3 linked regions of the Diceros bicornis minor genome follow. The protein of the gene in region 1 interacts with the protein of each later gene in a pairwise test. Links are inferred from orthologs where the notes say so. Each region holds a gene or a part of one and is shown in the gene's direction. Other genes may lie near its edges.

Region 1 (7,169 bases):
ACTAATAAAACCCACCCCTTGGATTGTCAGAAGAATTATATGGTATTCCCAAAATAATTAAAAGGCAGCTAAAAAGACGTATATCATATTAGGAAGATAAAATAAAATTAAAATCATTTTAAAAAATGAGGCACATGAATATAAAGTTAGAAAATTTAGATGGAGTCAGCAATGAGATTAATTTATAAAATATATGCTATGGAGCTAAACACTTGCTATGGCTAGGCCACAAATTTGAGTCTGAACTTCCTAGCTGTCTCCTCAAAGAGGGAAACATGGCAAGTCACCAAACCAACAGTGCCATCCATAAGGTTAAAAACAAATTAGTAGTTTGGTGACTCCTCAAAAAGTTAAACACAGAATTACCATATAATCTGAAATTCATAGGTACATACCCCAAATAATTGAAAACAAGTATTCAAACAGATACTTGTACACCAATGTTCACAGCAGCATTAGTCACAACAACCAAAAGGTAGAAACACCCAAAATATCTATCAACAGATGAAGAGATAAACAAAATGTGGTATAACTATGCAATGAAGCGTTATTCAGCCATAAAAAGAAATGAAATACTAATACATTCTACATTATGGATGAACCTCAGAAACATTATGCTAAGTGAAAGGAGTCAGACACAAAAGGTCACATACCGTATGATTCCGTTTATATGAAATATCCAGAATAGTTAAATCCATGGAGACAGAAAGTAGATTAGTGGTTTCCAGGGGCTGGAGAGAGGGAGAAATAGGGAATGTCTGCTTAATGGGTACAGAGTCTCCTTTTGGAGTGATGAAAATGTTTTAGAACTAGATAGAGGTGATGGTTGCACAATATTGTAAATATACTAAATGCTACTAATTGTACACTTTTAAATGGTTAATTTTATGTTATGTGAATTTCATCTCAATAAAAAATAAAACAAAGCAAAACCAAAGCAAAACCAAAACAAATGAGTTGTCTGGAAAAGTGCAACTATTTCTAATAGTGAGACCAGAAAGGACATTTTTTAAGGGAAAGAACCCTCAGCAAAATTTTTATTTGAACATAATGTTGGGTTTCATATCATTCTTTAGAAGGTCCTTCAATACGAGCTGGTGTCATCACTATGAAGGGTAATATGGTGAAAGGTATTTTACTGGGAACTGGGGGAAGTACAGGGTTAGGAATGTGGCCCAAGGTACACTGGTCTCTGATGAGCAGGCTTAAGGCAGAGATGAAATTAAAAACATCTAGAGGAAGAGATGAACCGCCTATCCTTCTAAAATCCATAGTAAATGTTTCCCTTAGTCAAATGTTTGGAAGCTCTAGAGCAGGAGTCAGTTTGGGATTGCATTCCCTCTCAAGCATTTGGGTGCAGTTTGCCAATCTAGAGCCTCATGCTTTCAAGTTAGCCAATCTGGAAGCAGGAATAAGATCCATTGGTAATGAGGAGAATGCTGGGAGTGAGCAGTGACAGAGCTGAGACAGTGAAGGTTCTCCTGAGGAAGTGCTGGGTCTGCTCAAACACCCAAACAAGGGTCATTACAACCCCACACAGTTCCATGCAATAAATCACACCCTCAATATCTTCAAGGAGGAAGAGTTTCTTATAGACAACAGGAGGCCATTTATATAAAAGCTCTTTGTAAAGTGTAAATTTTATATCAATTGTAGTTTTCATTGTTATTAATATCTGGCTATAATACCTAACATGTAAACAACAGATGTGAACAGCATTTTCACATACCAAATTCATTTATCATTCTCAACAAATACTTATTGGATATTAATTGTGTGCCAAGGAGGGTAGACAATATTATCAACATTTTAGAAAAGAATAAGTTAAGGTTTTGAGAGCCTAAGATTTGCCCTAAGTCATATGACTTGGAGACTCAAGAACTTTAGTTCCTAGGTCATTCCAAACCTTGCTGCCCCCAAGAGCTGAAATGACCAAGGACTAAGGTGGCCAAGCCCTTCATCTTCATTAACTATTAAATGTGATTATTGAATGCCTTGGGCAAAGTTTTACCACTTCCATATCTTTCTGTACAGGGGTATTTTCTTGAACTGCTCTTACATGGAGTTCTCAGGAGCCACGCTACCAAGCACACACAATGCTCGGCTTTACACTACTGGCCCACATTTAGTGAGTGCACATTGTGTGTTAGGCATGGTGCTAAGCATTATGCAGACATATTCTCATTTAACCCTTAAAATAGCCTGCTGAGGAAGGTTTATCATCCCTCTTTTGTTTATACAGAAACTAAGGCTCAGAAAGAGTAAACACCTTGCCCAAAGTCACAGGCAGAAAGACAAATGGTCTGACAATCCTTATAGGAAGATATTTAAAGGTTCATGAAAATCAGAGGCTGAACCAATAGACTTCTATGATTCCTACCTGAAGAACCAGTAGGGTGTGGAACAAATATTGAACTAAGAGTAAATGTAAGAGACAGGGCTGGGTCCACATCCAGTTTTGTTTAACTCCAAAGCTCACAGCTTAACCACCCTGCTATACTAAGACACAGGTCCAGTAAGTTTGTAATCATTTGATTTCCCACCCAGAAAATTATGGTAATAAATTCTGTGTCATTATCATCATAGTGGCTAAAATGGACTGTGCCAAACAGTCTTAAGTGCTTAACAGTCATAGATTCAGGAACATCTGTAGATTTTAAAGTCTCCTGATAAGGACAAGGAAGTGACCCTCCACATAAAAGTTTTTTTGAGATGGCAAGCTTTTGCTACGAGAAGTCGAAAATTCAAGTTACTGAGTATTACTGTGCTGTTGGACTCAGGATGTTGAAAAGCTGGTATCTATGCTTCTGATTAACATTTGTTTTGGTTCAGATGTGTAAAATGCAATAGGGTAAAACAATTCATTCGACAAAAAATTATTATAATGTGCCAGATATCATGCTAGGTGCCACCGTGTAGCTGCTACGGTTTAAGTACTGAAGAAGTGTCAGCTCTGCCAGGGGTTGAGGAAAAGGGAAGCCACCTTTACCAAATTGGGCAAGTTTCACCTCTCTGGGATTCATTTCCTATTCTGTAAAGGAGGGGGTTGGCTATCCAGGTCTCAAATGTCTCCGGTTTTTTGACTTTGTGTGAAGGCTTCTCCTCCTCCTCTGCACTATTCCCATGTCAAAATATTCAACTCATACCATCCTAGCTCTGCAATTCATTGCAATGTGGGAGTGAAGTAGGGAATAACAGAAGCAAGGCTCCTCTGCTCAGGGAGCGGACAGTTCAAAGGAATAAGACAATAAATAATTAAGTAAATATTATCATTTAAAAAATACATAAAAAGTCATTAACAATTAATAATTAAATAAATAACTGTAGGTTGGAAAGGTGCTAAGAAGGAAATAAGTAGCATGGCTTGTCTTTTTTTCATAGAACGAAGCAAATGAGAAGGCTCTTTCAATTACAAGAATGACAACCTATCGAGGTCATCAGATTTAAAAAAGGGAAAAAATGATCATACCTTACAACCAACTAAAGAATGACTAGCCATTCCTCTTGAAGAAAACTGTGTTGGGACTGGTGTATCTACTCCGTCTCTTTCTCTTGGAATGGAAGTGGAGAGGCTTCTCAAAAAGAGCAGCGAGAGAAACTCACTTTTTTTTGTTTGTAAGTCAAGCGGAAAGACAACGTGAAAAGAGAGAACCAGGAGTCAGCCAGGGATTGCCAATCTAGTCTGGCCCTCAGGGTTTCTTTGAGTCTCTCCGGGCTCCCTCGGCAGCGGGAATCTGGATGGAAAGAAAGCGAATGCCGTGAACTTCAAGGCAGATTTCCTTTCAGTGCCCGGTGGCAGGAGGCCGGGAAGAAGAGGTCAAGGTGTGGTTTAGCGAGAGGCAGCTCGGGGGGAAGGCGCAGGGCAGGACAGGGCAGCGCAGAGACCGCAGCAGACGGCGACAGCACGGAGGGGGCACGCGCCGGCCCCAGGTGAGCGCGCAGACCGCCGCCCGGCCGCGGGCGCCGCGCGCCGCTCAGGTGGCGCTTCCCGCTCAGGTGAGCTCCTCCCGCCCTCCCATTGGCCGAGGCGCCGGGCGCCGGGAGGGCGACGCAGCCGGTCTAGTTCAGGGTCTAGGGCGGCGCGTCACTTCCGGGAGCGCGGAGCTTGTAAAACACCCTGGAGAGAAAATGGCGGCGGCAGCGGCTTCGGCGCCTCAGCAGCTCTCGGATGAGGAGCTTTTCTCGCAGCTCCGCCGTTACGGCCTGTCTCCGGGCCCCGTGACGGAGAGCACGCGCCCGGTCTACCTCAAGAAGCTGAAGAAGCTTCGCGAGGAGGAGCAGCAGCAGCACCGGCCCGGGGGCCGCGGCAGCAAGACGCGGAACAGCAATAACAATAACACGGCCGCCGCCACGGGCGCCGCCGCGGGACCGGCGGGGGCGGCGGGGCTGGGGGGCCGGCCGGGGGCGGGCGACCTCTCCTACCTGCGGACTGCGGGCGGCCTGGGCCGGGCCGCGGCCTCGGGCCCCGAGAGCCCCCTGGGAGGGGGAGGGCCCGGGGCCGCCGCGGCCGCCCCCACGGCCGGCAGCAAAGTGCTGCTGGGCTTCAGCTCGGACGAGTCGGACGCCGAGGCCAGTCCCCGGGACCAGGCCGGCGGCGGCGGCGGCAGGCGAGACCGGGCTGCGCTCCAGCCGCGCGCGCTCCGGCCGCCGGCGGCGCCGCTGGCCGCCAGCGAGGGGACCAGCAGCAGCCCGGCTGAGCGCAGGAAGCCCCACTCGTGGTGGGGGGCGCGGAGGCCGGCGGCGCCCGAGACCCCGGCGGGGCGGGACGGGGCCGCGGAGGGCGAGGGCGGGGAGGGCGAGGACGGCGGGGACCGGGACGCCGAGGCCGAGCAGCCGCCGTGGGCGAGCCGCGCCGTGAACGGCAGCCGGCTTCTCCCCTACAGCTGCCGGGAGAACTACTCGGACTCGGAGGAGGAGGACGACGACGACGTGGCCGCGGCCAGGCAGGTGCTGAAGGACGACTCCCTGTCCCGGCCCCGGCCCCGACGGAGCCACGGCAAGCCTCTGTCCCCGCCGCCGGCCAGAGCCGCCGGCGGCCGCGCGGAGCCCTCCGCTCCGGGAGGGGGAGGAATCGCGATGAATGACAGGGCGGCGGCCGCCGGCGGTCTAGACAGGGGCCGGAGCCTCGAGGAGGCGGCGGCGGAGCAGGGAGGAGGGTGTGATCCGCTGGACGCCAGCCCCGTTCCTCGATTCCGTGTCAACGCCAAGAAGCTGGCCCCTCTCCTGCCCCCGCCGCTGGCGGACGTGGACTCCACCTTGGATTCCTCCACGGGCTCCCTGCTCAAAACCAATAATCATATCGGCGGGGGGGCCTTCGGCGTGGACTCCCCCAGGATTTTTTCCAACAGCCTCCCTCCCAGTGCGGCGGCGGCCGCCCCGAGTTCACTCAGGATCAATCACTCCAATCACACGGGCTCGAATCACACCTACCTGAAAAACACCTACAGCAAACCGAAGCTGTCCGAACCCGAGGAGGAACTTCTCCAGCAATTTAAACGCGAGGAGGTGTCCCCGACGGGGGGTTTCAGTGCCCACTACTTGTCGATGTTTCTCTTGACTGCTGCCTGCTTGTTCTTTCTAATACTGGGACTGACTTACCTAGGAATGAGAGGGACAGGAGCATCCGAGGATGGAGGACTCAGCAGTAAGTATTAACCCCCGGGTAAGGTAACAAAGGGCGGGGTGCGAGGGGTCCTCTCTAAGCGCACTTGGCATTTTACATGCGGTGACTTCTGTCTGCAGGGACCTGTGAGAATAGTGAAACGCAACAGATGGAGTGTATTTGGGTCATCTTTCCTTAAGAAAGAACATTATTACCATTGTCAGAAGGACGATCCCATGGCTGGTTTTTAAAGTTTTTCTGTATGATGTATTGGGAAATTGAAAACATCTTGTAAAGGAACAAAGTATTACAAGCCTGTTAGTAAAATGCATTTATGTGTGTGACTTAAAGTTTCTTTTAGCCTTAAATAACTAGATGTGCAGATGCCAATTAACAGTTTCGAAATACTTTGATTGTTAAGGGGCAACATAAATGCAGTGTTTTTTCAAATTGACTTGTGACACTAAAAGGAAATGTAAGATCTCTTGAAATTTTGGTTAAATATTTTGTAGTGTTAAGTGTACATGTAGGTAGTTCTGTAATTTCTTTAAAGTGAATGAATATAGAAAGGAAGGCACACCTCTAAATTGATTTCCCAGCCCAAAGCACCTCACCTCCCACCAGTGAAACAAGTAGTGGTTGGGCAGTGCAGCAGTTTGCAGTCAGATTTATCTGAATTGGTTTCCAGGCCCTGCCATTGACTTGCTAGAGGGCTCTAGGCAGGTGTGTTCATTCATTCATTAAGGCAGCAGCATTTATGCTGAGCATACAGCAGTGATGGCTCAGAGTCTCTCTGTCCTTCAGCACAAGAGGAAGATGAATACAGATCATTTTGTGTTCTGTGAAGGAAGCAAGGATGGAGTGATTGGTGTATACTGCTTTAGAGATGCTAAGAGTAGGTACTGTTTGAGATGAGAACTGCAGCAGAAGGAGACAGCCTTGTAGCGAGACAGGAGAGCATTCTGGGCAGAGATTATAAGAAGAAAGGCCTTCAGTTGAGCAGGAGTCTTGCTGTGGGTTAGAGTGGTTAGAGCACCATGAGCGGGGGGGGGGGTGGGGGGGGGTGGGGGTGGTGAGCGAGAGTTTGAGCTTCCCTTTCCTCATCTGTAAAATGATGCTGATATTGATCAGAGTGATGCCTGTCAAGATTAAAGAGAGAAAGTAAATTTAGTGGGTGATGGACTGCTGAACACATAACTTCTCAATATGTCCCTCTCCCCACTTGCCCTGAAACTTCCTACCTTTTTCACCCAACGTGAATTCACTGTGTCATTTGTATTTGTAAAATTGGCTTACTGTTATTAATTTTATTTCAAAATAGCTAATGATGCAGTTAGCAGACTTAGCTAAAGAGTAGGAGTCAAAATAGTGTAAGCTTTGATTTGGATATAACCAATTCTAAGATAGTCAAATAATAGATTATTACTGTATTGCTTAATTAGAGGGGTTAAAGAGGACTGAAATCCAGCACTCACTTTAATTGGTACCCTGGGAGCAAGAGTGATATGTTGTGTCCTGCTCCAAATATTTGGGAGAAAAAAGGAATGAGGTCACACCAGAAGTTAAA
Region 2 (7,139 bases), on another chromosome or scaffold:
ATAAATTTTGGGGTTCACATTTTGAACCTATAAAATTTGCAGCCAATTTTAAGGGTTCTCCTTATTGTAAATGATTAGTAGTTGATTTTTTTGACAAATGGTTAATTTGTCAAATTAATTTGAAGCGTAATTAATTTGCCTTCGGTTCCTTGATACCTTCTTTTCTCTGAGAATCTTGTCCTCCTCCCTACCTCAGCCATCCACTTTATCTGGTCACACTGCTAGATCTTGGCATTATGCAAAATTGTCCCAGTTCCATGATTTCAATTTCAAGCGTCCTGTTCTCAGACCGTTCCCCAGCTTTTGGGAGGGGTTCCCAACTGAAGCAGTTCTTGGATCCCACTGGGACCTTCTATCCATCCATCTTATCACCTTTCCATCACCCCCCACTTCTTTATGTCCTCACCTTCCTCCTTATCCCAGTCCCCCCACAGTCACTCCCTTGCCTACACCCTCTGCTCTCTGACCCTCTTTCCTTCCATCACACCCACTTGCAAAACCCCAGCTCTGCCCCCTTAGGCTGACCGAGGCTAGAGAAAAATCCACAGCCGTGCTGACCGGTCTTGCTTTAAATTCATAACCACTAACCTCAAATGGGCACGTAATAGCACTGCCTGGCTATCCTACTACATTTCCGTAGCTCATGTGCTCTCAAACTCTCCCAGAAGATAACTGTTTGATATCCACTCCTTTCTCTTCCAACCTGCAACGTCTCTTCTACACTCACCATTCTCAGGAAGTAGGGTCCGTGGCTATTTCATCAAGCTAACAGAAGCAGAGAGAAGACAATGTCCCTCTGTTCCCACCTCTGCAGCCACCAGCCTGTGCGCACCTGGACCCACACACTGCCTTCCCTCCTGCAGTCGGCTCCTCCCTGCGTCAGTGCACTGGCCTTCTGGTTCTTCTGTGAATGGGTGAAGACGACTCAACTTCAAGGTCCTTGCACTTGTTCTTCCCTCTGCTTGGGAGGTTGGAAATCCTCCCCTGATCATGTAGCATGCTCTCTGTCTTCATTCAGGATCTCTTCTCAGTGACGTTTTCCCTACCCCTATAGAAATAGCAGCCTCTCCCATTCGCAATCCCTCTTACTTTGCTGTTTCCATCCCGTGTACACCACCTAGCATACTTGTGTATTTATTCATTATTCGTCTTCCTTGATGAGAGTGGGGACTTTTATCTGTTTTGTTTGCCACCATATCCCCTGTGACTTGAACAGTGTTTGATTCATTCATTCACTCATTCATTCATTCAACAGGTGTTTAGTGAGCTATTAGGTGCCAGACACTGCTCTAGGCACTGAGAGGTTAGCAATGAACAGAACAGACCTACACTTTTGGCTAAGTAGAAAAAGAATAATAGAACAGAATAATAGAATTAATAGAAATAATAAAATAATAATAGAAATAATAGAAAATATAAAAATCCTGCACTTTTGGCTAAGTAGTTAGGTAGTGATAAGTGAAACATCCATACAACACAGGGGAAGGAAGAGGATATAAAAAGTATGTGTTTGGGAGTGGTATGGGCGGGGGGATGTTAGATTTTAGGTAGAGTGGCCAGGGTAGGCCTCATCCAGAGGGGAACCCTTGAGGGAAGACCTGAGGGAGGTTAGGCAGAGGGCCATGTGCACATCTTGGGAAAGGCTTTCCAGGGAGGAACAGCTGGTGCAGAGGTCCTGAAGTGAGAGTATGCCCAGGTTGTTCCAGGATTTGTGAGGAGGCCAGGGTGACTTAAGGAAGTGAGCAAGAGAGAGAGTAGGTCAGAGTGGTAACGGAGGGCAGGGAGGAAGGATCGTGTAGACTCTTGTCCACATTGTGAGAACTTTTATTTTGAGTGAAATGGGAAGTCAAGGGAAAAATTTTTTTTGATATAATGATAATAATATACAACCCAGGGCCGGCCCAGTGGCTTAGCGGTTAAGTGAGCGTGCTCCGCTTTGGTGGCCCGGGTTCAGATCCTGGGCGCGCACCGACGCACCGCTTCTCCAGCCATGCTGAGGCTGCGTCCCATATACAGCAACTAGAAGGCTGTGCAACTACGACATACAACTACATACTGGGCATTGGGGGAAAAAAACAGAAGGAGGATTGGCAATAGATGTTAGCCCAGAGCCGGTCTTCCTCAGCAAAAATAGGAGGATTAGCATGGATGTTAGCTCAGGGCTGATCCTCCTCACAAAAGAAAAAAAAAAAATACAACCCACATTCCAGTTTTCACAATTGTCCCAATAATGTCCTCTTTTAAAAAGTCCAATTTTTTTTATTACTATTTAAAGAAATAATTTGCACAAGGGGCAAAAATCAAATTTCATAGCTTGCATAGTATTAATAATGATCATTTGTAGCTACGAGGACTGCACTAAGAAAGGTCACCTATAGGTTAAAAAAATTAACAGTTTTATAATGTCATTTTATAGCTTTTCCACTCAATCCTGGATCCAATCAAGGATAGTACACTACTTTTAGTTGTCATACCTTTTTTTAACAGCTTTATTGAAATAAAATTCACAGACCATATATTCACCCATTTAAAGTGTACGATTCAATGGCTTTTAGTATATCCACAGAGTCGTGCAACAATCACCACAAACTAATTTCAGAACATTTTCGTCACCCCAAAAAAGAAACCCCATAACCTTTAGCTATCCCCCTAACCTCCCCATTCTCCCAAACATAGGTAACCACCATTCTACTTTCTATCTCTACAGATTTGCCTATTCTGGATATTTTATATAAATGGAAGCATACAATTTGTGGTCTTTTGTGTCTGGCTTCTTTCTCTAAGCATTATGATTTCAAGGTTCATCCATGTAGCATGTGTCAGTACTTCTTTTCTTTTTATGACTGAATGATGTTCCCTTGTATGGATAGAGCACATTCCACTTACCAAGGGAAGGTTTTGAGCAGAAGAATGACCTGATCTGAGTGGCATTTAACAAGGCTTACTCCAGCTGTCGGGAGCAGAGAATGATGAACTGTGTCAATGCTGCTTTTAGGGAAAATAAGATGAGGCTCAACAATTGACCAGGAAGTGCTCAAATAGCTTAACAAAGAAATTAACAGAAATACTCTGATCTATAATTGGTATTTCATGTGTTTTATGGGATTTGTTGCATTTCCTTTGAATAATTAAACATGGAATGCAGAAATAAAATAATTAATAAACAAGAATTTAAATGGAATGTGGACATGTAAACATACAGGAACAATTGGAGAGTACCATTAGTTTACAGAGGTCTTTGATGTTTTCTTTATATTAGTGGTAATGATTCTTTTGGTTCATGTGAAATTTACTCCTCAGAATAATTATTTGTCTCTAAACATAACTCAACATTATGGTAATTATCCAAGATTTCATGCCAGGTTCCAGGGAGCTGGCCAGGAGAAAATGTAATTCTTACAAAAATATATTTTCACCGTCTATGCAGATCAGGTAGAGAAGAGCTAGTCTGTTTTTAATTTGAGGGGTTGGTGTCATCTAAAAGATTGCAGAAATTGGATAAGAAATTTAGAGTTCTATTGTGGCATCTGTCATTATTTTGAGCAACGAAGTTACCTACTCGACTCAGATCCCAAATTGGCGCACAACCCATGTATTGATTCAGGGTTTGGTATAAGCACATGCAATAGTTACTAGCTATTCAATTCTGGGTACGTGCAACTTCTGGGGCTTGCAAATCACTGGGGAGTGAGTGAGGGGCAATGAAAACGAGACATAAAAAGGCGAGGCTCGAAAGACAATTGTCAAAAATGCGCTCCACGTTTGTAGTACGGTTCGGTGGGCGCGGTGGACGTGCTGATGAACATTCCAGATAATAAACACTGAGCACAGAACTTCCCTCGCAGATAATGCACCAAGTCCGCTCCACCGGGACTAAAGGAGGCAGGGGGAGGAAAGTCGGAACGCGCGGAGTTGTTTTTGCTCGTTGGAATAAATTGGGCGTGGGGCTGGGGGCGGGGGAGGTGGCTCGGGCCGCTCGCCCGCGCCGTCCTCAGGCCCCGCTGCGCTGGCCGGGCCGGGAATTTGGAGAGGATCCCTGGTCGCGCGGCGGCGGCGGCGCGCGGGTGCGCGTGTGAGCGGGCGGGCGGGCGAGTGCGCCGGGTATTGGCAGCCGAGGAGTGGAGGCTGGGCGGCTCCGACTCCCTGACGCCAGCGCGACCAGATCAATCCAGGCTCCGGGAGCGAGCGGGCGGAGGAAGGAGAGGCCGAGCGGCTCAGCGCGGGCCGAGGCGCAGGGAGGGACCCTGCGAGCGCAGCGCGGCGCAGCGCCCGGCGGGCCAGCCCGGGGCCGCGGGACCCCGCTCGCCCCGCCACTCGTGCCCCTGCGCGGACGGGCGCGCCGCCAACCCGGTAAAACGAAACAGACCCGAAACCAACTTTCCTTCTGCCGCGTCCCCGCCCTCCCCTCGGCTCCCCCGGCTTCCCAGCGCCGCCGCCTCCGCTGCGGCGGGCGCGGGCCCGCAGGGCTGCCGCGGCCGTGCGGCGCCGGGGGCGCGGGCTGCGGCCGGGAGGGTGCTCTTCCCCGTGCGGGGCGGACCGGGACCCCCCCCCCCATGATGGCGCCTCCGGCCGCTCGGATGAGCGAACCTGCCACCTTCTCCACCCCTCGCGCCCAGCCCGCCCGGCAGGGCTCGGCCGGGGTTCCCCGCGCGTCTTTGTTGGGTCTGCGGTGGGGAAGCCGCGTTCCTCGGCCCCGGCCCTGCCCGCGGCGGGACCTCCCGGGTCCCCTCCCCCTCCGCCCGCGCCCCGTTTCTCTTTCCGTTTCTGCAGCCGGCCCGAGGCCCGTCCGCGCGGCCCGCGGGCCCATTGTGTCCCGCGCCGGCCCGGGCCACTCTTGCGGGCGCCGGAGGGCGGCTGTCGGCGCGGCTCGGGACGCGCTCGGCGCCGCGCGGAGCGGGTCCCGCACGAGCGGGACACCTGGTGCCCTGGGCCCCTCCGCGTCCCCGACGGGTCCCCTTCTCTGCCCCAACGAGCCTCTTGGGGGTGGAGGTCAAGGAGAGTTCGCACTGAAATTCCCTCTAATTTATTCAAAGGTTTGGCGGCGGCGGCGGGTAATTTTTTTTTTTTTTCCCCTCTTCCGCCTACACCCCCCTCCGTCTCCAAGTGTCGTCTCATTCCTTTCCCTTGACCGGATTCGATTGCCTCACTGCATGTGCATTTGTGAGCTCGCGGTTGAACAAGTGTTCCTTGACTCGGCTCCCTGTCTTTGTTAGTGTTTCTCGGGGTTGTTTCTGTAGGGAGGTGGGGGTGGTGGGTGTGAGCGAGACAGACGTGGGCTTGTTTTTCTGGTTGCTTGATATATATGAAGGCTTCCTGGGAAAGCGTTTCCTTGATGGACTTTAGGAGGGAGGAGGAACAAATGCCTGCCGGATCGTACAACTACAGTAGCCGCGGCTTTTGTTTATTTTGAGGCGCAGACGATTTTTAAATACACGGTGCAAGATAACCAGTAAGGCGCTTCCCTTCTGAAAATCGAGGCGCATCTCAGAACCATCTCCTGAGAAAGCATCGTTTTCGTGAGTGCTGTGACAACGAGCCTTTTTCTTTCCCCATATGTCCTCCTCTTTCCATTGTATCTGAAGTTTCAACGTCTGTGAAATGATACAGAAGTTGCATGATTTCTGTATGTCTTCCTCTTGCTGAAACTTAGCAGCTAAATCACAGAATGCCTTAATTTCAGAACATTTCTCGCTCTAATTGCCTGTCGTGGAGAGCATGCCTGCGTTCAGAAACACAATGAGAAAACTGTTCTCTGCCTGTGTTGATTTTTCATCTTGTTCATAATTACCACTTTACGTTTTATTGGAGGTAGGTGAGGTGTGTTGGAACCACTGTTTAAAAAGAATGGAGGCAGAATCACTGTTCACTGCCCCAGCGTTTTCAATTAGTGTAAATATTTTGCATCATTGTTATTCTGAGGTAGGTGCCAGGCCTAAATATGCTGTACTGATTAAAGTACTTTTCCTCCCCCCTCCCTTCCACCCTCTTTTCCATTTGCAGTTATTTGATATTTCTGTGCAGGTGGTGCACATTTGTGTAATATTGCAATTCTTAGGAAACTGTAACCAGGGTCGTGAGAGATGATTTTTCTAGAGGTGGGTGATGCCAGAGCCTCTGGAGGATCCAGGCAGGATCAGGTTTCTTCTGAGGGTAGGGATTTGTCCTTCATTTAGTTCTGACTCCTCCAACCATAGGTATGTAACTAAATACATTTTTCCTTTTTGCAGTATCCTTTGGTTTTATACCCTTGATGAGCTGATGACCTTTGCATTTTAGAGAAATGACAATTTTCAGGCAATTAAAAATGTTAACCTCTTACACCTCTTGGAATTTAATTAATTTTTGCTACCTAAGTTCATTAAAGCATTAAAAGGAAGTAAGTCTCATTTTCCCAAATACATCTATTAGTTAAAAACTAAATTTCAGTTTGTAATTTTGATTTCTAGTAATCCTGGGTTAAAGGTAAAATTTAATAACAGATTGTAAAAAGAATAAACTTGAGTGTAATTAGACGAGTATATTTTAGCTGCAGTCGCCTACACAATCAAGGCCAAGTTGTGTGTGTATAAAAGATCTCATTTGTATAGTCTTACAAGGCTAATGGAGGCATCATTGGGGTTTATAAATAATGTAAGTTGTGTATAATGTAGAGTCTCCAGAGACGGCAGAGAAAGCATCATTACCAGCCTTTTCAACCTGCTTGAGATCTTAAATTGATTTACGGCACTGAACTGGTGCAAAATGATACATCAGGATGACATGGGGTCAGCCTGTAAAAGTCTATGATGTCAGCCTATTAGTTCAGTCATCATAATTAAACCATATTACAGGGGCAGCTAAGCAGGAGTCTGGCGTTATACTTCAGATATGGGTGGTACATAGTTTTTGTTTATAGTGGAAAAGCTGAACTCGCTGGGAATGATAGTGTTTCTAAAAGAGGAGAAGGCTTACAGAACTCTGAATTTTTCAAAAAAAATTGAAGATAAACTCAGAGATGTTCAGTCTGCATTGTCTAAATAGCTTTCCATTTGGTAGTGGAGAAACAGATGCTCTGGGGGTGCTGATAAGGACCTTTGCAGCTCTGATGCGTGTCCTGAACCATGCTTCATGTGATCTTGAATTTAACTTGGCCTTAGGGA
Region 3 (7,704 bases), on another chromosome or scaffold:
AAAAACAAATAACCTGATTAAAAAAATGGGCAAAGGACTTGAATAAACAATTCTCCAAAGAAGATATACAAATGGCTAACAAGCATATGAAAAGATAGTCAATGTCACTAATAGTGAGAGCAATGGAAATGAAAATCACAATGAGATATCAGCTCACACCCATTAGGATGATCTCTATCGAAAGAACAGAAAATAACAAATGTTGGCGACGACGCAGAGAAACTGGAACCCTTGTGCACTGTTGGTGGGAATGTAAAATGGTGCAGCCATAAGGAAAACAATATGGAGGTTCCTCAAAAAATTAAAAATACAAGTACCATATGATCCAGCAGTCCACTTCTGGGTATAAGTCCAAAAGAATTCAAAGCAGGATCTCAAAGAGATATTTGCACACTCATCTTCATTGCAGCATTATTCATGATAACTAGGAGATGGAATTTAACTAAAATAATAAAGATGTATTTCAAATTTTTTTTTAAATGAGGATTAAGAAAGCTCACTGAATTATTCATTGAAGGGTTACTGGTGACCTCTAAGAACGTTGGAATAGCACTGAAATCAAATAGTGCAGATGGAAGGCAGAAGCCAGACTTGGGGAAATTAGGAAGGGGTGGGTAGTAAGGAAGAGGAGACAAATATCAACCATGCATTGTGAAGTTTGACAGTGGAGTAAAGGACAAATACCGTATGGACTGGGGGGAGAATTTTGTTCACCCAAGTTAAATAAGCTCCGACTTGATTGAAGTAATGACCTGAGTTATTGTCTCTATGTTACAGAAAAAAGAGAGATGCTGAAATGGACTAGAGGGCACAATTCAGAGGTTGCAAATTGCCACTCAAATTTGGCTCAAATATGTTTTCTTTGGCTTGTGTCTTTAAAAAACAAATTGGGTTAGTTAGCAAAATTTTTTAATTATAAGATTTTTCCATAAAATTCTGGATATCTGTTACCCCTTGAAATTACGTCCCCATTCTCACACGGCAACAACTGGCTGGAGCTGCGTACCAGGAGTTCCCTTCAGAAGGGAATGTGCTCTCCAGTCCCCACTCCTCCTTATTCTATCTCACCTGGCCAACTTTATATTGACAGTTCCAGGCTGGTCCAAGCTGGTATTGTTTGCAATCCCGGTTACACAGTAAGGTGAGCTTGTGAGGGGAGAGGCAAGATAAGCAATAGAATTGTGAGTTATCTTTTTACCTCTGGGACCACTCCTTGGTCTTTCTTTAAGGCTCCACTTCTTCCTTCCCCTTCCTGAATCAGTGTGATCTCACTCCTCTGTTCTTTGTCCATAATTTCTTCATCAAGGATCTCATTCATTCTCATGGCTTCTGCTGTCACCTCTACAGATACATTCCAAATCTACATCTCTCCTCTGATCACCTCCCTGATATTTTTAACTACATACTAAACATTTCATTCATTCAACAAATATTTATTGGGCATCTACATGTGCCAGGCATCGTTCCAGGCTATGGGGATACAGTAGTGGCAAAATGAGCATTTGTATAGAGAGACAGTCAAAACAAACAAATGAATGGTTTATATAAGTTAATGTAGTGATGCCATGAGGGAAAAAAACAGTAAATAAATAGAGATTTGGGGAATAATTGTGGATGAGGGTGAGTTTTTCTTATTTTTTCCCCTCCACAGTCCTGGTAGGGAGAATCTCACAACAGGAGATAGCTGTCACTCTTCACCAAACCAAGATGCTCTATCACTCCCTGTCGCAACCCCAGAGCATTTATTCAGTGATGTCCTGCCTCGTAACATTATTTTTCTTATTTACCCAATTAGTTGGACAGTTCTCTTAGGAACAGTGAGGTGTTCATACTCAAAACCTCAAGGAACTCTGCACATAGTAGGCATTCTGGGCTGCCTTTACAATTGTGCAAGTTGTGTCTGATTCAGAGTGCCTCGCCTGGGGGCTGACATCCAGGCTGCACTGTACTGCGAAACCAGTACTCACAGAGCTGCATCCATCGAGACTGGCGGGGCGGGGTGGGGGGCTTCTTTGGCTATTGAGGCAGTAGGCATTCATACTCACTTCTCAAGGTGTAGCTGAAATTTCCCCTCTGTGGAGACCTCCCTGACACCTCCCCTGTGCCCACACCCTGAAGTGACACATAAAGCTGTACGATAATCGTTGGTGTGTGCGCCTCTCCTAGAGAGACTAAGTTTACTGAGGGCCAGTGTTCCGTGTCCAGAACCTGGTACTCAGGAAAGTGTTCAATAATGGTCATAGAATGAATAATGGCTCTTGAAGGAAAGCTCACGGGGGAGGCAGAAAAATGCAGAGCTAGGACAGAGTTACAGATGAAATGCAGAAGACTAGCATCGGGAGGGGTGTGCAGGCAACAATTCCTAGTTGTGGCTCTGCGTGGAACCATTATAATGCTAGATCAAACATAAGGTACAAGAGATGTACAAAGCTGAATCTTTGCATCTACGGATTACTACAGACTTTGTCACAATCTTGTCCCATGCTGGACATATGACAAGTGAAAAGAACTGAGCCTCTCGTGGGTAAGGAAGCTGCCCTTCCTACTGCTGTTTTACAGCCTGTAGGAGCTCATGTTGCACCAAGTCCTTGTAATTCAGAAAAGGGGAAGCTTAGTTTCACAGTGGTTTTCAGGTCTTGAATCAAAATTTTACTAGAGGTTCCACCAAATCACAACCTGTGACTGAATCTCACCCCTCATATGATTCTCATTACGTAGTTTTTTCGTGGAAGTTCTAACAAGCAGTAAAATTGCAGCCAATCAAGAAATCAAGAGGAAAAAAATAAAGTAGAGAGTCTGGATTTGCTATTACAAGGCGAGTCAGCTCCTGAAAAATGGAGTGTCAACACTGAGCCTTCTTTCCCAGAGCAGGCATTTTCTTCTTTTTGGAACTCACCAGATCTTATTGTTCTTGGGTAAAATAGATTAACTTTCTATACTAGGTTCGAGGAATAAATGATAGCAATTGTATAAGTGACAGGCTAACTTTAGGTGCCAAAATTTCTTGGTATGTAAATGAGAATGTACAGAAAAAGTAGACTATACACGTTCAAAGAATCTGCAAATCCAAGTCCTGCCAAGAGCCAAGAGACTTCTGTGAACTTAAAAAGACTCCATGCCAGAAGCATGAGCCAGCACTGCAGAGGTTATAATTTCTTGCTCTGCGTTGTGTCCTCTGCACTGTCTAATGCCATAAGAGAAGGAAACTGAGATAGTGACGGAGCCATTTCTTTTCTTAATAACATTTTTTAAAAGAAACGTGAGCCACAAGGTATCAGTTCTGAGGACCTAATTAATTTACTTGCAATAAAGTGTGCATCAGGCCCAATCTGTAGCTTTTAGCAGTCCAAATGTTTCCTTGTGTTTCACACCCAGAGCAATCTCAAAGGTAACACCTAGCCTGAAGCAGAGGTAAATGGGCCAGGTGTAGAAAGACGATTTAAATTCGAGTTCAAGGTTCTACTGCAAATGCTGTTTTAAACAAGGTCATTGCTCAACTACAACAGTGTGATAACCCAAAAATGGCTTCTACCATGGGAAGAAAGTGCAGCGCTTTGAGAACTAGAAAAAGCAGTTCAAGTCAAGTTAAATTCTTGCATTTACATTTCAGGGGGAATCCTTTTGGGGGAGAGATTTTTCTATACACAGGAACAAACTGAATACTGTCCTGTGTGGCTTTATTCTACCTTTCACCTCTGTAGTAAATGCCTTTTCTATGAAGAGCTACTGGCTGACGGGGGCTCAAAGGCTATCAGTACGTGGGTGGCATTTCCTAAGCGTATTCTGAGTAGGAGTCCACGGTGACCTCAAAAGGCAGGCTACCTACTGGGCAGCCAGGCTGTGAGCAAGAAGGTTGTATATTAACGTTGCTCAGCGCCCATAACGTTGTATCTTTATTAGATTAGATAATATTATATATTATACGCTAGGCTGTGAAGCAAATAAATGCACGTAGGGATATGACAATTCACATAATTATATAACCTGTTTTAACCCCACTCACCACTCAGGGTGATTAGGTTTTCTTCTGCCTTTGCCAGTGGAAACCAGTTACTCTAGCGCTGTCGATGGGTGTCAGGATCCCTTTACTCTGAAAAGCTTATAAGGTACAAACAGCAGGAAACAGGAACCATCAGGGCTTAGAAACATGTCGGAAGGAGTGGCTCAGAGGGGTTTCCAAACCGATTTGCTGGTCCTGTATCTCCTGTTCTGGTCAGAACCCTCCTTCGGCCTGAGGCTCCAGGTGGAGATGAGGAGGCTCCAGGTGGAGATGAGAAGTCTCAAGGTGGCGGGGAGAGAGAGACGCGAGGTGACTCAGGCTGGCCGGAGCTTCCCCGTCGCGGCCCCCCGAGCGGGCTTGGTCGCGGACCGAGGCGAGCCTGCGGTCTCCAAGAAGACCGAGCGGGCCGCCCGGGCCGGGGGCCACCGCGTGGCGCGCGGCCGCGAGGCGCCCCCGCCGCAAGTTTCCGCGCACGTGGCCGCGGGCGGGCCGCGCTCCCCTCCCCGCGGGCTCCCGAGCGGCCCGGGCGCGCGGCGGCGGGCGGGGGCGGGCCCGCGAGCAGGGCTCCTGGCCGCTTTCCAGGTCGGCGCACTAATACGGGCGATGAGGCTTCGCGGCTCCAGTCTGACTGACGCCGGCTGGGGCCGCCGCCGCCGCCGCCGCTGCAGCCGCTGTCTCGGTCCCCGCCGCAGCCGCCGCCGGGCCCTGCAGCCGCTGGGCGCGCGCAGCCAGGCAGTGAGTGCGCGGCGCTCGGAGCGGGCGGCCCGGGACCCACCGCGGGGGCGGGGGGAGCCAGGCCTGGGGTGGGGGGAGGGATGCGTGGCATCGTGGGGACAGGTAAGAGGTGCCCTCTCCGGCGCGCGCTGGGCGAGTGCGTGCGTGTGTGGCTAAGTTTTTCTTCCGCAAGGGAAGTCTTGGAGGCTCTTGGGCGTGTGGCTTGGTTCTTTGTATTTTTCATACCTCTATTTCTTGGTAGAGCCTGTTTGGGGTGGGCTGGGTGGGCGAGAAGGCGGAGGGGACAGCTGCGGGGAGTTGGCCGCGTGCCCTCCTCACGGCCGCACCCGCCCGGGCTGCCGGCACCTGGGACCTGTCAGAGGATGCTTGTCCCGCGGCGGGGGCGCCGGCCGTGCGCGCTGTGGCCCGGGGCGTGGGCAGGGATGCGCGCTCGCTCTCCGCCCCGGGCTGGGCACCGCGCACCGACGACAGGCGCCGTGGAGACCCGGGCTGGGAGCTGAGTAACCATTTGCTGTGCCGGGGGAGGGCTGGGTGGGGGGACAGTGGAGAAATGGGGGTGGGGGGTAGTAATTGTGACTCAGCTGGCCTCCCTGGCCTCCTATCTCATAGGCTTTTTACTCTGCTTACCTTTGAGGCACGCGAAGTGAGCAAAAAAAAAAAGTTAGGAAGGTTATTCAAGTGTCTCTGGGCTAGCCCTTGGATTGTGTTGGGAGCTGGGATGTTTGTCTTTTCCTTCGCCTGCCGTTCGGTGCCAGCTCTCCGCAGAGGGGAGGGGGGCGAGGTGGGGAACAGATACAGGAGACTAACTGACGCCAGCATTGTGATCGGAAGGAGGAGCGCGGGGGAAACATTTTTATGGATGGCTAATCGCTGACAAGTCTTCCCGTTACTATTCCTTCCTCCTCCCACCCTTGACAGTGGAAATTTGAAATGATAGTTTAGAAATAACTCCGTTGACTTGTTTCTGGGCTGGAACTGGTACTTCTGAGAAATAACCTACAACTGATGGAAATCTAGTTTTGGAATAAAATTGCATGTAAACACTCACAGTCGGATGCACACCCACAGGACACTGTGGATTGCTTTTAATGGATCCAGTTTACCGGTACCTGTTCCATGGCTTGCCAGATTTCTCGGGTGATCTTTTGAAAGTGTAGTTTAGCAGGAATAATAGAGGATAACTGTAAAGTCATAAGGCATTTAATAATGTTACCTCCTTGGCCGTAACTAAGCGGAGTATTTGGGGCATCGTTCTGGGTGTGTGAAATGTTAATATTCCAGGCATATCATCTGCTTTAGGAGTCTTGTCGGTGTGAGGGAGTGCCATTGGAAGCTTACCTGTTAAAAATAGCGATCTATATTTAAAAAGGAAGTAAAAGAAAAACCCAAACACATTCTCCTAACTCCAAATGGACAGTTCATTAAGTGAGTTTCTGTATGCTTGTAGGAAACCATGAAGAAGATTTTGGACCAATTTCAAGTTTGTTGTTATCCAAGAAGGACACTGCAGATAAGAAAATGATGTAATAGTTTATAAATAAGGAGCATTTTAAATATGACAGAAGTTTCAAATAATATATCAGAAAAATAACCTTTAGTGATGATAATTGCCTTCATTGATGGCAAGACAACTGTCTTTAGCAGACAGCCTTCAGCCTCTTAATCTCTTCTGACACAAGCAACTCCCATTTTTATGCTTGACTGGCTATCTTTGTCAGAGTTGTTTTATGCTTCAGCTCTGTGGTTTCAAGCTATGTTTAAGAGAATGTCAACATATTCTTAATCTGAGCAAACTCATTTTTATCAGTACAGTGTTTACTGAAAATCAAAGATATAAACAAATTTTAGGTTAAACCACTAAGTACTTTACAATTCTCACGTCTTTGTCATCAATCTTTTAAACTCAGTATGAGCTCTTTGACTTTTCTCTTTTTAAAATCTTTTCTATCCCAAGTTAATGAGCAATCAAAAAATATTCACAGATGTCAACCACTGCATCTCTGATCGCCCAAGACATGGAAACATGGAATGAGAAAGAAGAGTTTTCGTTTTCTTTTTTTTGCCTAGTGAAACATTGGCAAGGATATCTATAAGTAATAAGCAACTGGTAAATTTGTTTATCCTTTCTGATTGCATGGTCAGTTGGAGGAGAAAAAAAATCTGTTAAGAAATTATTTCGTAGTGATTAAAATATTCAATTTCAGTTTTACAAATAGTTTAATTCTGATTAATGAGAGTGCAATTTCCCTTGCCAAATTGGAGAGATGGTGTTTAATAAGTAGTCACTATAGCACTTAGGCAACTAACTAGTTTATATCTGACATTCTTTCTGCAATAAATAAAACAGCAGTTTCATCATATTCTGCTTTAATGTGTCAGAAATAATACTTATCCACAGAATATATTCTGATTTAAGGGAAGGTAAAGGTTATGGAAAATAAAGTTTTTTTTTAACATGCAGAACATAGTACATTAAATTTTAAAGCTCTAACGAAGCTTAGTGCAGATTTTCTGTGTATTGCTTCTAACATTTAGAGAGGAATTCAGAAACAGGGAAGTGTCCAGAATAAAACAGTAATTGCAGCAGTACATTGAAAGCATGAATCTCTTCAAATAGTTGTAATTCTAGGCTGTTGGATTTATATTTCCTTGGTTACAGTTGCCAGTGAGTTGAAAAGTTATTCTAAAGGGGAAAAAAAGCCAACAGTAAATTCATAAGTAGTTATAACAGTATGAGCGCTTTAGTAATTTTTTTTGTTAACCTAGTGAATGTCCATGTCATGAGTAGGGATATAACAAAAAATAAATACCCCTGGGCAGTAAACTAACCTTTTAAAATAAGTATTCCTATAAATTATGTCTCTTAAGAAATATGTGCTAACTAAAGTTGTTAAGATTTCAAGATAATTGTTAGCATTGGAAGCCATCATACCCCTGAAAGCTGGATGTTAATCTTGCTGGTGGACTGC

What was found.
Region 2: the proteins of LEMD3 (region 1) and SMAD1 interact in binary tests that used the Homo sapiens proteins (3 or more experiments, as listed by UniProt). The link is inferred for Diceros bicornis minor from reciprocal best matches to the Homo sapiens genes LEMD3 and SMAD1.
Region 3: the proteins of LEMD3 (region 1) and SMAD9 interact in binary tests that used the Homo sapiens proteins (3 or more experiments, as listed by UniProt). The link is inferred for Diceros bicornis minor from reciprocal best matches to the Homo sapiens genes LEMD3 and SMAD9.

Annotation. Positions count from the first base shown.
Region 1 is NC_080756.1:5,486,326-5,493,494, reverse strand, and holds the start of LEMD3 (inner nuclear membrane protein Man1), read left to right. Parts: upstream 1-4,110; 5' UTR 4,111-4,128; coding exon 4,129-5,644; intron 5,645-7,169.
Region 2 is NC_080750.1:34,664,205-34,671,343, forward strand, and holds the start of SMAD1 (mothers against decapentaplegic homolog 1), read left to right. Parts: upstream 1-4,103; 5' UTR 4,104-4,350; intron 4,351-5,174; exon of another isoform or gene 5,175-5,516; intron 5,517-7,139. UniProt on the Homo sapiens protein: Transcriptional modulator that plays a role in various cellular processes, including embryonic development, cell differentiation, and tissue homeostasis.
Region 3 is NC_080748.1:19,317,764-19,325,467, reverse strand, and holds the start of SMAD9 (mothers against decapentaplegic homolog 9), read left to right. Parts: upstream 1-4,639; 5' UTR 4,640-4,735; intron 4,736-7,704. UniProt on the Homo sapiens protein: Transcriptional modulator activated by BMP (bone morphogenetic proteins) type 1 receptor kinase. SMAD9 is a receptor-regulated SMAD (R-SMAD).